Mus musculus: one gene and its partner. The protein of the gene in region 2 purifies or fractionates together with the protein of the main gene of each other region. This does not show direct contact. Links are inferred from orthologs where the notes say so. Each region holds a gene or a part of one and is shown on either strand. Other genes may lie near its edges.

Region 1 (5,966 bases), on a different chromosome or scaffold from region 2:
AAGCAGGACTGCTATGAATTCAAAGGTAATCTGGGCCACAGAGTGAGTTACAGGCTACCCAGATCTACACTCAGACACTTATCTCAAAAAAGAAAAACAAAAGGGCAAATTATATATTGTAAAGAAATGACGCCAGGCGTGGTGGTGCACGCCTTTAATCCCAGCACTCGGGAGGCAGAGGCAGGAGGATTTCTGAGTTTGAGGCCAGCCTGGTCTACAGAGTGAGTTCCAGGACAGCCAGGGCTACACAGAGAAACCCTGTCTCAAAACACCAAACCCCCGCCCCCAAAAAAGAAATGACAAAGCAGGAGCTGGCCCTCCCACAGCACATTTGGCTGTCATGGCTTACCACAGAGATAGGAGCCATCCTCACCACTGTTCCACAGAGGAAAACAACTGAGCTCAAAAAAGCAAAATGTTTGTTCCTCCACTACAGCAGAAAGAACTGACAGAACAGGCCCAGCCCTGACTAGCTCCCCTCTTTGCCAATACACAATGCAACAGCCCAGGCTCTGCCAAAGAGCCCTGGGCCAACTGAGGTCTTCCAGTAGTACTCCTAGCTGCCTAATTTGGTGGGCACTGAGGGGATGAGTCCCCACCCCAGAGCCACCTGATCAGAGACTAGGATACCTGAAGCTAAACCCCTAGGCCCAGGCTCTAACTCTGCCTAACACAGAGTGGTGGAAGGGAGAGAAGGGGGAGAAGGGGGAAAAGCTCCTGGGCTGAGACCTGCCACAGGCAGCCTCACTTCAGCACTGTGAGGCGTCAGTCGCCAAGGACACAGCTGCCAGGCATAGGGAGGTCAGGGCGTTTTAGGATGCTGCTCAGACATGAGGTCAGAAGGTGAACAGGCCACCAGGGGGAAGGGGACAGCAATGGCAATGGATTTCAGGACCAGTGAAAGGAGCCAGAGGACTCCAAAAGGAGGCTGCTGGGTGGACCACAGGTTGGGGCCTTACTTCATTCGGATCTTTCGGGCCATGGCTCGCAGTTCATCCTCTCGCTCCTGCAGCAGAAACAGCTGTGAGAGGTGGTCCAGCCCCCCACTCCACCTGTGTGCCCTGCCCATCCGAGGAGCACAGCCCGACCTGCCGCTCATGCTCCTGCTGGATCATCTTCTCCTGAGCTGCCTTCTTATCCGCCTTGACTGTGGAGGGAGAGTGTGAGGTTGAGGGCTGTGCTCAGTCCCATGCCAACCTGACCTGCTCAGGCAGGCTCAAGAGAGGTCAGCCCACTCTCCCCACGGCATTGGCTGGATTGGAGGCAGGACTTACACTGGCGGTTCAGAGCCTTCTGCATCCGAAGCTTCAGCCTCTCCTGTGGGGTCAGCTTGGGCTGGGGGAGAAGGGGTGGGATAGGCGTGGGTGCCCAGAGCTCGCCCAGCCCACCTCAGTCAAGAGTCTGGGACTTGGGGGCCAGCTGGAGTCCCATGGGAGGCAGGGATGGGACTTAGTTTGCCTGGGTAGCCCTTCCCCAGTCTCTGGGCTGGCTCTCCCCTCCCCCTGGGCCCCCTGCAGGCCCACCGGGCCCAGCTCTGGACACTGCTGCTGACGGGAGTTAGACGGGCGAGTTCCAAATTCTTACTGACTTTGGCAGCTCCTGTCTCTTTACCAGCGGCAGGCTCGGTCCTGGGTTGAGAGAAAATGGCAATGCCACCGTTACCATAGGCACTGGCATCGGCCATGGGCTCCAGATTCCTCAGGATATGTCCCTGACCCCCAGAGCCCAGACAGGGCCATATCCCTCTCTGACAGCCTACTCAAGGCAAGGCCACAACAGCACTCACCCTACACTGCAGTGCACACACCTCTCACAATAGCCAGGGTACTGTCACAGTCCCTTCAAAATGAATTTCATCAGGGCTCCCTCAGAACCAGCCAGGCTCCTAACTCACTTTTTCAGCTTCTCGCCCACAGCAGGGGACGCTGCCGGCCTGGTCAGCTTCTCCCTTGGGGGCGATGGTGAGTGACTCTGGCTCTGGCTGTGGCTCTGGCTGCGGCTTCGGCTCCGGCTCTGGCTGCGGCTTCCGCTCCGGGTCACACTGCGGCTTCGGGAAGGGCTGAGGGACCAGCTGCTGCGGCTATGACTGCTGCTATGGTGCCTGGGGCCCCGGGCACCCCGCTTATAGCGGTCACCTGAACGGGAGCGGCTCCTAGGTGTAGCAGAGGTGGAGAGCTGTGAGGCCTCAGGGACCTACAGGAAGTCACCCCAATTCCCAAATCGCTAGGCCTCCTGCAGAGTCCAGCACTTTCCCCACACACTTCCCTCAGAAAGCCCCAGCTGCTCCCTGGCCACCTTCTAGAACAGTCAGCACCCCACACCCTCTCCCTCAGGTGCTAACATCCTGGGGGAGCTCGGGGCATTCAGATGCCTCACTCTGCTCCCTGTCCCATACCAAGCTCCGCTCTGCACAGCCCCAGGGTTTCCCCGCTTGGAGTACTGGTAGGATTCTCAAGAAAGCAGTCACACCCAGGCTGGCATTCAATTTGTGGTAGCCCCATTCCCCCGCCCCTGCCTTTCCCCTGTGGTCATGCTACAGGGAAGACGCCTGGCAACATGGACGCTCAGCCTCCTTAGAGCAACAGAAAGATAAGGAAGGGCTCCCAGTCAGTTAATGACTGATACCCCCATAGTTGTGTCTGTTCTACAGATGAAGACATTCCAGCTCTGTCACTAAGCCTAGCCCTATCCAAACTCTCTACCGCTGCTTTCCCCAACCAAACCTAAAAATAGCCACAGCCCAAGCTCATTGGTCCCCTGAGAACCCCAGGGTTTCCCCGCTTGGAGTACTGGTAGGATTCTCAAGAAAGCAGTCACACCCAGGCTGGCATTCAATTTGTGGTAGCCCCATTCCCCCGCCCCTGCCTTTCCCCTGTGGTCATGCTACAGGGAAGACGCCTGGCAACATGGACGCTCAGCCTCTTCTTCAAAGACTGTTGCCTGGCCAGCCCAGAGGTTCCCAGGTCCAGCAGTCTGGGAAGTCCAGGTAAAAGCCAAGGAGATACCTCCATGCCCCGCCCCATACTTTGGTACCTACCCTGTCCTGCTTCCAATCAGGTGCTTCCCAAGAGAAGAGGGGCTGGCCTGGTCTGTCCCCAGCCCGCCTCCCCCCTAACACTCCTGCTCCTTAACATAAGTCACAGACCTGCTCCTTCGGCGGGGCACGTACCCGCCGCGCCGGGCAGGGGAGCGTGAGTAGCGGTGTCCGTCGCGGGAACCGCCGTCTGAGTGCCGCCGTCCGCGGCTGCGGGAGCGTGAGTAGCGCCGGGAACGGGAGCGTGAGCGGGACCAGGAGCGGGAGCGGGAGCGTGCGTGGCGGCCAGAGCGGTAATAGCCACGGCGGGAGCGCGAACTGGAGCGCGAACTGGATCGGGAGCTGGAGGTCCTGGAGGCGGAGGACGAAGAGGAGCGGCGGCTGTGGGAGCACGGGGAAAACAGGGTTTGTGAGCGACACTGTCCTAGAGGGCCCGTCCCTCCTCCCGGAGGTCCGCTAGGGCGGGCGTGAGCGTTACCGACCGGGTGCTGGCATTACGGCCTGGAGCGGGGCCACCCGTTTGGGGAGGCGCAGGGGGCTTCCCTGGGGCAGCCCCGGATGCGGCGGCTGCAGCAGCTGCAGCAGCTGCCTCCTCGTCGCTGCCTCCAAAACTGGTGATGAAAGTGATTTTTTCCTCGCGGCCTGGGCTCGGGGAGCGAGAGCGGGAGCGGGACTCGGAACTAGATTCTGAAGGTGACCTGCAGCGAAGGATGAGCAAAAGGGAGGCAGCACTCAGAGCCCCAGCTGCACCAGGGCCCTAGTGGGATGTGTGAGTTCAAAGCCAGCCTGGTATACATCAAAAGCGAGGACAAGAGCTACATAGAGAGAACTTGTCTCCAGAAAAAAGAAAAAATTACTAAGTTTCTGGCTGGTGCGATGGTTCTGCAGGTGGGAAGGCTCTTGCCTGCAAGCCTGACAACCCGAGGTCAATCTCAGAATCCACACAGTAGGGTAGAAAGAGAACTAAGCTGTCCTTTTACCTTCAGCTCTGTGGCACATGTGCACCAACCCCACCCAGACTGATAAATATAATTTTTCACAAAAGAAAATGGGCAGGGGGTAGTAGGGGTAGAGGCCAGCCTAGTCTACATAGAGAGTACCAAGAGTCCATGTCTCAATAAACAACAACAAAACAAAACAAAAGTAGCTGGCTTTCTGTGCTAGTAAAATGAAAGACGGTGTAGTGCAAAGAAGGCTTTGCCGATGCAAGAGACCTTGGGTTTCAGCCCTAGAACGGTAGCAAAACACAGTGAGGTCTTCCTGCTTAACCTGGAGAGGAGGTCCTCAGCTAATTCCAGCCCATGAAACACTGAGCCTAGTGGGACTCCCTTTAGGGAAAAGCAGGCCAACACAAAAGGCCCCACTCCCTGGCCTTAGCAGAGAGTGAGGGGAGTTTCTCACTAATTCTGGGAGTCGTGTGTTAAACACACCCAATCTCTATGCCCCTTTATGTCCTAAAGAGATTCTAAATTAAAAAAAAAATTTGGAAAAACAAAACTGATATAGACCCAACCCCTATCCATAGACCACAGGATGCCATCTGTAACAGGAGTGACCCAAACAGGAGTGACTTCTTCCAGAGCACTGACACTTACCGCTTATAGGGGTCATAGGTGGGGCTGTCTCGGCGGGCATAACTATGGAGAGAACAGGGAAGGGCAGGAGAGCTGAGACCAGGCTGGCTAGTGTCAACTATTCCACTCTGAGCCCCAGTGCTGCAGATTGTACACCCCATGTCATTGTGGGGATCCCACATTGGTCTCCTTATTACAGCCCTGGTGCTGCCAGTGCTACACTGGAAGCCATGGTGACCAGTACCCAGCATGGTGACATCAGTGCTGGCGAGAAAACAACAGTATGTCCAACTAACTCAGTGCAGTATCTGAGTCTGAGGATTCACACTCTTCATAGGGGAGGAGCGGTCCCTGTGAGGGTAAGTAACGTCCTCTGGTGGCAGTGCCCTGTGTGGAGGGGCCTGTGGCCTGCTGCTAACCTTACACTGTCACACCCAAACCTTCCTCAGACATTTGCCCAGGGCTCCCAGGCCCAGATTCTTCTCTACTCATATGCAACTGCTCTCCCAATCCTCTCAAGACTTCATTGTGGGAAGTAGCCTCTCTCCACTTTACAATGGAGGAAACTAGCCAGAAGAAAGGAGCCTCTTATCTAGACCCTGTAGAGATGACACTGACCAGTGCAGGTGGGCTGTGTTGGGCCCAGCAGGTTGACTGAGAGGTGGGGGGCAGGTGGCCCGGGAAGCATTCCCATGCCTCCAGCTACTCCTAGCTCTGTAACTGTCGCCCCACTGCCAAGGCTGGGCTCCACTCTCCAGCCCCTGGCTGTGCAGAGGAGATATCCTACCTGGGAGGGCTGATCTTGCGGCCTCTCAGCCGCTTCTCCCGGAACTCTCTTCGCTGTCGCCGGGAACGACGGCCCTGGATGGGGAGGAAGCACCAGGACGGTGAGGTGTGCCCTCACTGGATCCACTTTTACCCCCGAGCCCTACCAGACCTCACCGAGTACATGGCTTTCTCCTCCTCCAGGGCTTTGGCATGTTTGATGGCCTCTGCCTCCTCCTTATCTTTCCGTAGCATCCTGCAGAGGAAGTTAGGATGGGCATGAAGGGCATAGGTCACAGAGTGGGCAGAGCCCTGGTAAAGGCAGCAAAGACAGCAGGGACCTGATGTTACTCCATGATTCCTTTCTCCCTGAACCAGGGCTCTGCTGTAGGCTAGCTGGTCTTTAACTCACGGTGAAATCCTTGTAGCCACGGGATGTGCAGGCAGGCATTACCCTACCCTTTCCTTTTCTGTTCTTCCCTTTGATGGGGTCTTGTTCTGTTGGGCCTAGCTTTGAACTCATAACCTTGCCTCAGCCTCAAGACTGCAGAATCATAGGTATGCGCTATTACACTTAATTTCCCTTCTGTGTT
Region 2 (6,497 bases):
TCCAGACATCTGCAAATGGTCCGTCCCTTCAGTTACCCTGGGCACCACAGTGTCTTTCTCTTTCTTTGTGCTCTGCTTTCCTTCCTTCTTTCTCTCTTGCCCTCGCTCACTTTCTTTTTTGTTTTTGTTTTTGTTTGTTTGGTTGGTTTTTTTTTTTTTTTTGGTTTTTTTTCAAGACAGGCTTTCTCTGTGTAGCCCTGTCTGGAACTCACTTTGTAGACCAGGCTGGCCTCGAACTCAGAAATCTGCCTGCTTCTGCCTCCCAAGCCTCGATCACTTTCTTTCTCCCTCTTTCTTTTGATTCTTGGTTTCTCTGTGTAACCCTGGCTGTCCCAGAACTCACACCGTAGACCAGGATGGCTTCACATTCACAGAGATCTACCTGGCTACTAGGATTAAATGTGTGTACGAGCACCACCTTGCTCACAGTGTTTCTTGAAAGGGCACAAGTAAATGAAGCTCACTGCTTTCATCCTGTTACAGTAAAAGTTATCAACCATAGAAATAAAGACCACGCCTGGGAAAGTGAAAATCATTTTACTCTTTCTATCCAAAGGCACTCAATTCCATTCCTGGAGGCCAGACAGACTTAGTACACATCAGCAAGGTTTATCAATTTAAAAGTCAGGGTCTAGGGTCAGCAAAGTGGCTCAGTAGATAAACCTTACTGCAGCTAAGTCTGCTGTCCTGAGTTCAATTCTTGGACCCACGTGGTGAAAGGAAAGAACTGACTCCTACAACTTGTCCTTTGACTTCTATGGACACAGGCAAGAAGATATGCCTGTGTGTGAGTGTACACACACACACACACCAAAAATGTAGTGACTTTTTTTTTTAAATTCTGGAGAGGGTCTTTATTCTTCCTTAAAATAAGAAATGGGGACCCAGTCATTATGACTACTTAACAAGATCAACAAAAGACTCTGATACAGTCACATTCCATGGAGAAACATTAGCAGCTGGGAGGGAGGAGGAGAGAGCAGCACTCACAAATCAGCCCAATGGGCTTCTAGTAGCAACACAAGCCAGTGCCGTGGGCAGCCAGTGCCATGGGCTCCCAGTGCCATGGGCAGCCAGCGCCATGGGCTCCCAGTGCCATGGGCAGCCAGTGCCATGGGCAGCCAGTGCCATGGGCTCCCAGTGCCATGGGCAGCCAGTGCCATGGGCAGCCAGTGCCATGGGCAGCCAGTGCCATGGGCAGCCAGTGCCATGGGCAGCCAGTGCCATGGGCAGCCAGTGCCATGGGCTCCCAGTGCCATGGGCAGCCAGTGCCATGGGCAGCCAGTGCCATGGGCAGCCAGTGCCATGGGCTCCCAGTGCCATGGGCAGCCAGTGCCATGGGCTCCCAGTGCCATGGGCAGCCAGTGCCATGGGCAGCCAGTGCCATGGGCAGCCAGCGCCATGGGCTCCCAGTGCAGCAGCAAAGCCGACTGACACTCACGCAGTGCAGTGCAGGAGGAGCAACATTCTTCGTTTTATTTCTGTTTTGAGACAGTACATCATTAAGTCACCCTAGCTAGGATTTGCTATTATGTTCACCAGGCTAGACTCAGACTCCCAGAGACTCATCTAATTAAAGTTGTACCCATCCAGCCCTAACATTCTTAATAAAGGTAGTCGGATCTGTTGGTTCCAGAAGTAAAGGGACATTAAAGAACCTGTTGATTTTTTTCTAAGCTCTTGGTCTGAAAGCCAACAAAGATCTGTCTCAGCTCTTAACTAAGTCCCAGTGTGGGGACAGGAGGATGAAGAGGCTGGGAGCTGATAAAATGACCCTGTGGGGTCAAGGCAAGCATCAGAGGCACTGCTACCTCTGCTCTGTGACCAAAGACCAAGGAAGATGTGGGTGAAGGCCAGGAGCACCAAGTGCGTGCGGGAGGTTTTGCGTGCAGAGCGCTTCATGGCCTCCATGCAGCAGGAGCCTGTCTCTAAGGAGGGAGTGGAACCGGTGAGTGAGCCTGGACAACTAGTTAGTCTCAGCGCTGCCTCAGTGCCACATTAGAGGTTTAGGAGAGGAAAAGCCAAAGGACAATGACTACATCACCTTAATTTCAGAAGCCTAAGCAGATGCTACACCTAATCTTTCAAGATCGTTTTTCATAGAAACCAAATAGGCATTTTCTCTGTGCACAAACGCAAAAGTCAGAATAGTAAATACTTGTGATATCAAAATAAGGACTCAAAATAATCATCCCAGTCAGTGTGTAGTGCCTCCTGGCAAAGGGCCAAGGCACAGGTTGGTAATGTAGACAGCCCTGTCGCCCCTACCCTACAACCAGACTCTGACCTTATTACAGCTTTGCCTTAGTTCCCAGGAGAAGGGTGATTTTCTTTGTACAAGGCCTATCACTCAGATGTTGCTCAATAAATCATTGATAAACATGACCAACTCCAGTGTTTCCTTGACTGGACTGCATCCCCAGTTACTGAGATCGCTTAACTGAGGAAAAGCCTGAATACAATAAAGCTGATGTGGATAGGCCTAAACTTCTTCTTTTTCTCTTGCCCCCTCTTGCCTCAGTTGGAGAAAACTTCTCCCTTAAACACTAGTTTGTCAAATCCAAACAAGAGTTAGAAACGTAATTAATTCCTGTTTTTGCAAGAATGTCTGTTTAATTTGCTCCATGTGACTCTGCCCTAATAATGTTGTGTATGTTGTTTATGTCATCAGGGTACCACTGGACCTTTAGAGGCGTTGTTAAGGGACACAGTGCACCATGGTTACTCTGCTTTCTATGCCATGTGTAAACATGTTGACTAGTCAAAAACTCGGGCTTGAAAGAATAAAACACATCACAGAGAAAAGCCAGGGGGTAAATGAACCCTCTGATAGACGCTCCGACACTTCTTTCCCATCTCAAAACAGCATGTTCTCCAGCCCTGTTCTGACTGCTTTACACCAACACTTCAGACAGCTCAGTTTCCAAGTTCAAGCAGCACACAAGCCTGCTCTCTCTCTGTGCCCTCTGGCTGTGCAGAACAGGCAAGATACCAAGGCTGGTGAGCACCCTCCCAACACTGCCAGGTGGACTGTCTCTGGGTTCTCCCTGCAGGTCTCATTTAAGAGCTCCTGCTGCTTCATTTCAAAGTGAACGAACACTCAGGAGATTGTGGGATGGGGGGAGCTAAGGGTCCGCTTCCTATGGGATACTCTTGACATAACTCTAGCTATGGATCTGAAAGAGTTGGTCAGACTGCTTACATACCAAAGGCCAGATCTTGAGGAACTCTCAACTGTCTTAGCCAAATGACAAGACACTCCCAACAGGTTTCTCTCAAAGCTGTCCTCAGAACACACGACTGCCTAGCAGTGACAAACAGAAGGCAATGCAGGTACTCTGTCAACCACTGTGTGTCTCAAAGCCCTTCTCTGTGAATTAGGAAAGACATTGTTCTAGTCCTACTACGAATAATCTTGACTTACTCCACCCATTCTATATACATCTCTATGAACACCACACTAGGCATATCACCTCTCTCCATCTTCCCCAGCCGAGGGCAGAACTAAAGATATTCCCTAAATCACCTGGCTTCCACATTAGAGTGACCACTTTATATTCAAAAACAAAACAAAACAAAAAAACGGTCCAGCTCACTGCCCCAGGAATCTTCATGAGAAAAGAAACGGCAAGGCATTTCATCTAGATCTTAATATCTCCAAAAGTGAACAGGGAAGGCCACCATCTCATGTGGCAAGCAAAAACACCATCCATTCTAGAGGACGGCTGGATAAAAATACAGAGGCTTGATACTGGCTCTCGAGAAGCCCCTAACAATCACCTTTTTGCAGGTTTCCCAATGGAGAAGGCCAGTACAGGAAGAATAGTACGGACTCTAAGTTACAGAGGGCTCGCAGCAAGTTCCAAAGGTTTGGCTGTCGACGGATGGAGCTAATGAATGGGATCAGAACAAGTCTGGCTTGGCCGGTGCTCAGGATGTCCGGGGAAAAGGCCCTCCGTATGGAGTGCAGCAACAGTGCTTGGCACCAGCGAACACATGCATGTCTTTCTTCAAAGTGCTATGCGTTTCAAGCTAGGCTGTGGGCACTCTGCCCCCATTCTACTGACCGGGACGTCAAGGCTCGGTAGCCACTCCATCACGTGGGCGGCTAGTCGGCCCCACCCCCGTCCCGCCCCCACCGCTCACCTTTTTGTCCCAGATCTGCAGGGGCTTGCTGCCGATGCTGTAGAGGATGGAAAGGAAGCCACTCTGGAACGTGTTCTTGAACATCTCGCCAGCCGCGGCCCCGCAGCCGCCGCCCTAGGCCCGGGATTGGAGATCGGCACCGAGCGGCGAAAGAGAGCGGGTGCCGCCGGTCCGAAGGTAGGACGCTGAGAGCTGCAGCCACTGACGGCGGGAAGCGGCGGCGTGACGCAGATCCGTAAGCCTCGGTGAGCACCGAGCCACCTCAGCACCGAAACCACAGCAACTGCCGCCCGCGCCGCCGAGCCTGCCGGAGAGGAGGCGGAGCGCCGCCTCGGCCCGCCACGGATCCCTCCGCACGCTTGGGCCCGCCCCTCGGAGGCGCATTGCCCAGTCCTGCCGCAGAAAGAACGGTTTCCGGTTCCTTCCGCCCTTAGGCCCGCCCCTTCCTGCCCCCTCGGGCGCGGAACTTGGTTGCCAAGGGACTATTCCCCGCCCCTCCCCGCCGGGGCCCAGACTTGGTTTAGAACAGCGGAAGGAGACTTTAAGTTTACCTCACGTGTTTACAGTGCCTGCGTGGTGTCATGGGAACCGGGAGGCGCGTGGAGGGGTGGAGTCATGCCAGACCCCTCCCCCGAAGGGCGGGAAGAGTGAGGAAGGTGGCTTTGTGCCAACGACAGATAAATATTATCCCTGGGTGTGTTGACTCCAGATTTTAATCCTAGTACCGGATTAAATCCCAGCAGAGGTAGAAAGATCTCTGAATTTGAGGTCTACATATCGAGCTCCAGGACAGCCAGGACTCAGAGACACCCTGTCGCAAAAAACAAATATTGGTTGGCCCAGGAGAACGTGTGAGCTAATGAACCAGTATTGATTGCCCAATTTACATCATCACCTTTAATTATCAAGTTACAGTGAATGAGCTGCTGTAAAAGCAATACTCTGGGGGAAAGCGTATCTCTTTAAATGCATTGATTCGAAAAGAAGAAAGCCGGAATATTAAGATATAAACAAAAATTAATAAAATCTTAAAAGTGGAATAGTTGAGTTGAACCGACAGCTGATTTTTTTAAAAAAAGTGTGTCAATTTCTGGAATATTGTAGGAAAGACATACGCTGTGTATTTCAAGTAGAAGGAAATCTCAAGTGTGGAAGACTTCCACCAGTCGCTGAGCGTCTTCCTAAATGGTGTTCCACCCAGGCCTGTGTTCTGGCGCACAGAAAAGAGTTTGAAGCACAGACGATCACTTTAGCAATTTTAACGATCATAGTTGCAAAGTTTACACATTTACTATGTGACGGGTATATGTGATGCCTTACCCTGTATTAACTCACTCTACCCTCACACCAAAGCTTTGAGTACTCCAGCCAGAATTTCTAGATATCGTGAAAACTATGTGAATCTATTACTATATAAAAATGAAACTTGTTATATGGAATTAATTTTTGCATGATATCTGGGAATTCTTTATGTACTCTAAGCCAAGTGAATAATTTATAGCTTGATTGTTTTTAAGTTGTTCAAAATATCCTCGGGGCTGGAGAGATGGCTCCGCTGTTAAGAGCACTGGTTGCTCATCCAAAGATCCTGAGTTCAATTCCCAGCAACCCCATGGTGGCTCACAACCATCTGTAATGGGAACTGATGCCCTCTTCTGGCCTGAAGGTGTACATACAGATAGAGAACTCAGAAACAAAACATAAATAAATAGAAATCTTAAACAAAATCCTCAGGAAAAAGATTCAAGATAAGAAATGATGGTATACACTGGAAGGAGAGGCCCATTGGACTTGCAAACTTTATATGCCCCAGTACAGGAGAACGCCAGGGCCAAAAAGTGGGAGTGGGTGGGTAGGGGAGTCGGGGGGAGGGTATGGGGACTTTTGGGATAGCATTGGAAATGTAAATGAGGAAAATACCTAATAAAAAATATAAAAAAAGAGAAATGATGGTATATGAGTTCTGATGGTGATTTCAATACTGCACATAACTAACCACTTGGCGTCTTATAGAAAGTAAATTATTTCTAAAAATAATTCAGCAGTACTAAGTCTGGAAATAGAAAATGGAATGAGTAATAGAAAATTAAGGTGATAACTAAGCCCCTCAGAAGGTTCTGAGCCCTGTCTCATTTTTTTCTGATTAATGTAATATAGATATTGAGGAAACTATAAAAAGTAACATTTATAATATCACCATTTGGAAATAATTGTATGCCTCTCTATTGTCTCCACACCTCCCTGCATTGCCCTCCTTCTCGGCCCGCATCCCACCACATATTAATGTGTGCAGGTAGCCACGGAAGCTGTCTTTGTCCTAAAACAGACAAGAACTGAGCACAGCATCCCTT

Evidence for each region.
Region 1: the proteins of Cfap20 (region 2) and Clasrp purify together in Homo sapiens (affinity purification with mass spectrometry; 3 studies listed by BioGRID and IntAct, counting the BioPlex papers as one, with this or other methods). This does not show direct contact. The link is inferred for Mus musculus from reciprocal best matches to the Homo sapiens genes CFAP20 and CLASRP.

Annotation. Positions count from the first base shown.
Region 1 is NC_000073.6:19,583,196-19,589,161, forward strand, and holds part of Clasrp (CLK4-associating serine/arginine rich protein), read right to left. Parts: intron 5,630-5,966; coding exon 5,551-5,629; intron 5,470-5,550; coding exon 5,396-5,469; intron 4,672-5,395; coding exon 4,630-4,671; intron 3,733-4,629; coding exon 3,517-3,732; intron 3,416-3,516; coding exon 3,146-3,415; intron 2,153-3,145; coding exon 1,895-2,152; intron 1,629-1,894; coding exon 1,589-1,628; exon of another isoform or gene 1,336-1,588; coding exon 1,275-1,335; intron 1,148-1,274; coding exon 1,089-1,147; intron 1,007-1,088; coding exon 960-1,006; intron 1-959. UniProt on the Homo sapiens protein: Probably functions as an alternative splicing regulator. May regulate the mRNA splicing of genes such as CLK1. May act by regulating members of the CLK kinase family.
Region 2 is NC_000074.6:95,430,342-95,436,838, forward strand, and holds the start of Cfap20 (cilia- and flagella-associated protein 20), read right to left. Parts: upstream 4,529-6,497; 5' UTR 4,231-4,528; coding exon 4,147-4,230; intron 1-4,146. UniProt on the Homo sapiens protein: Cilium- and flagellum-specific protein that plays a role in axonemal structure organization and motility. Microtubule inner protein (MIP) part of the dynein-decorated doublet microtubules (DMTs) in cilia axoneme, which is required for motile cilia beating.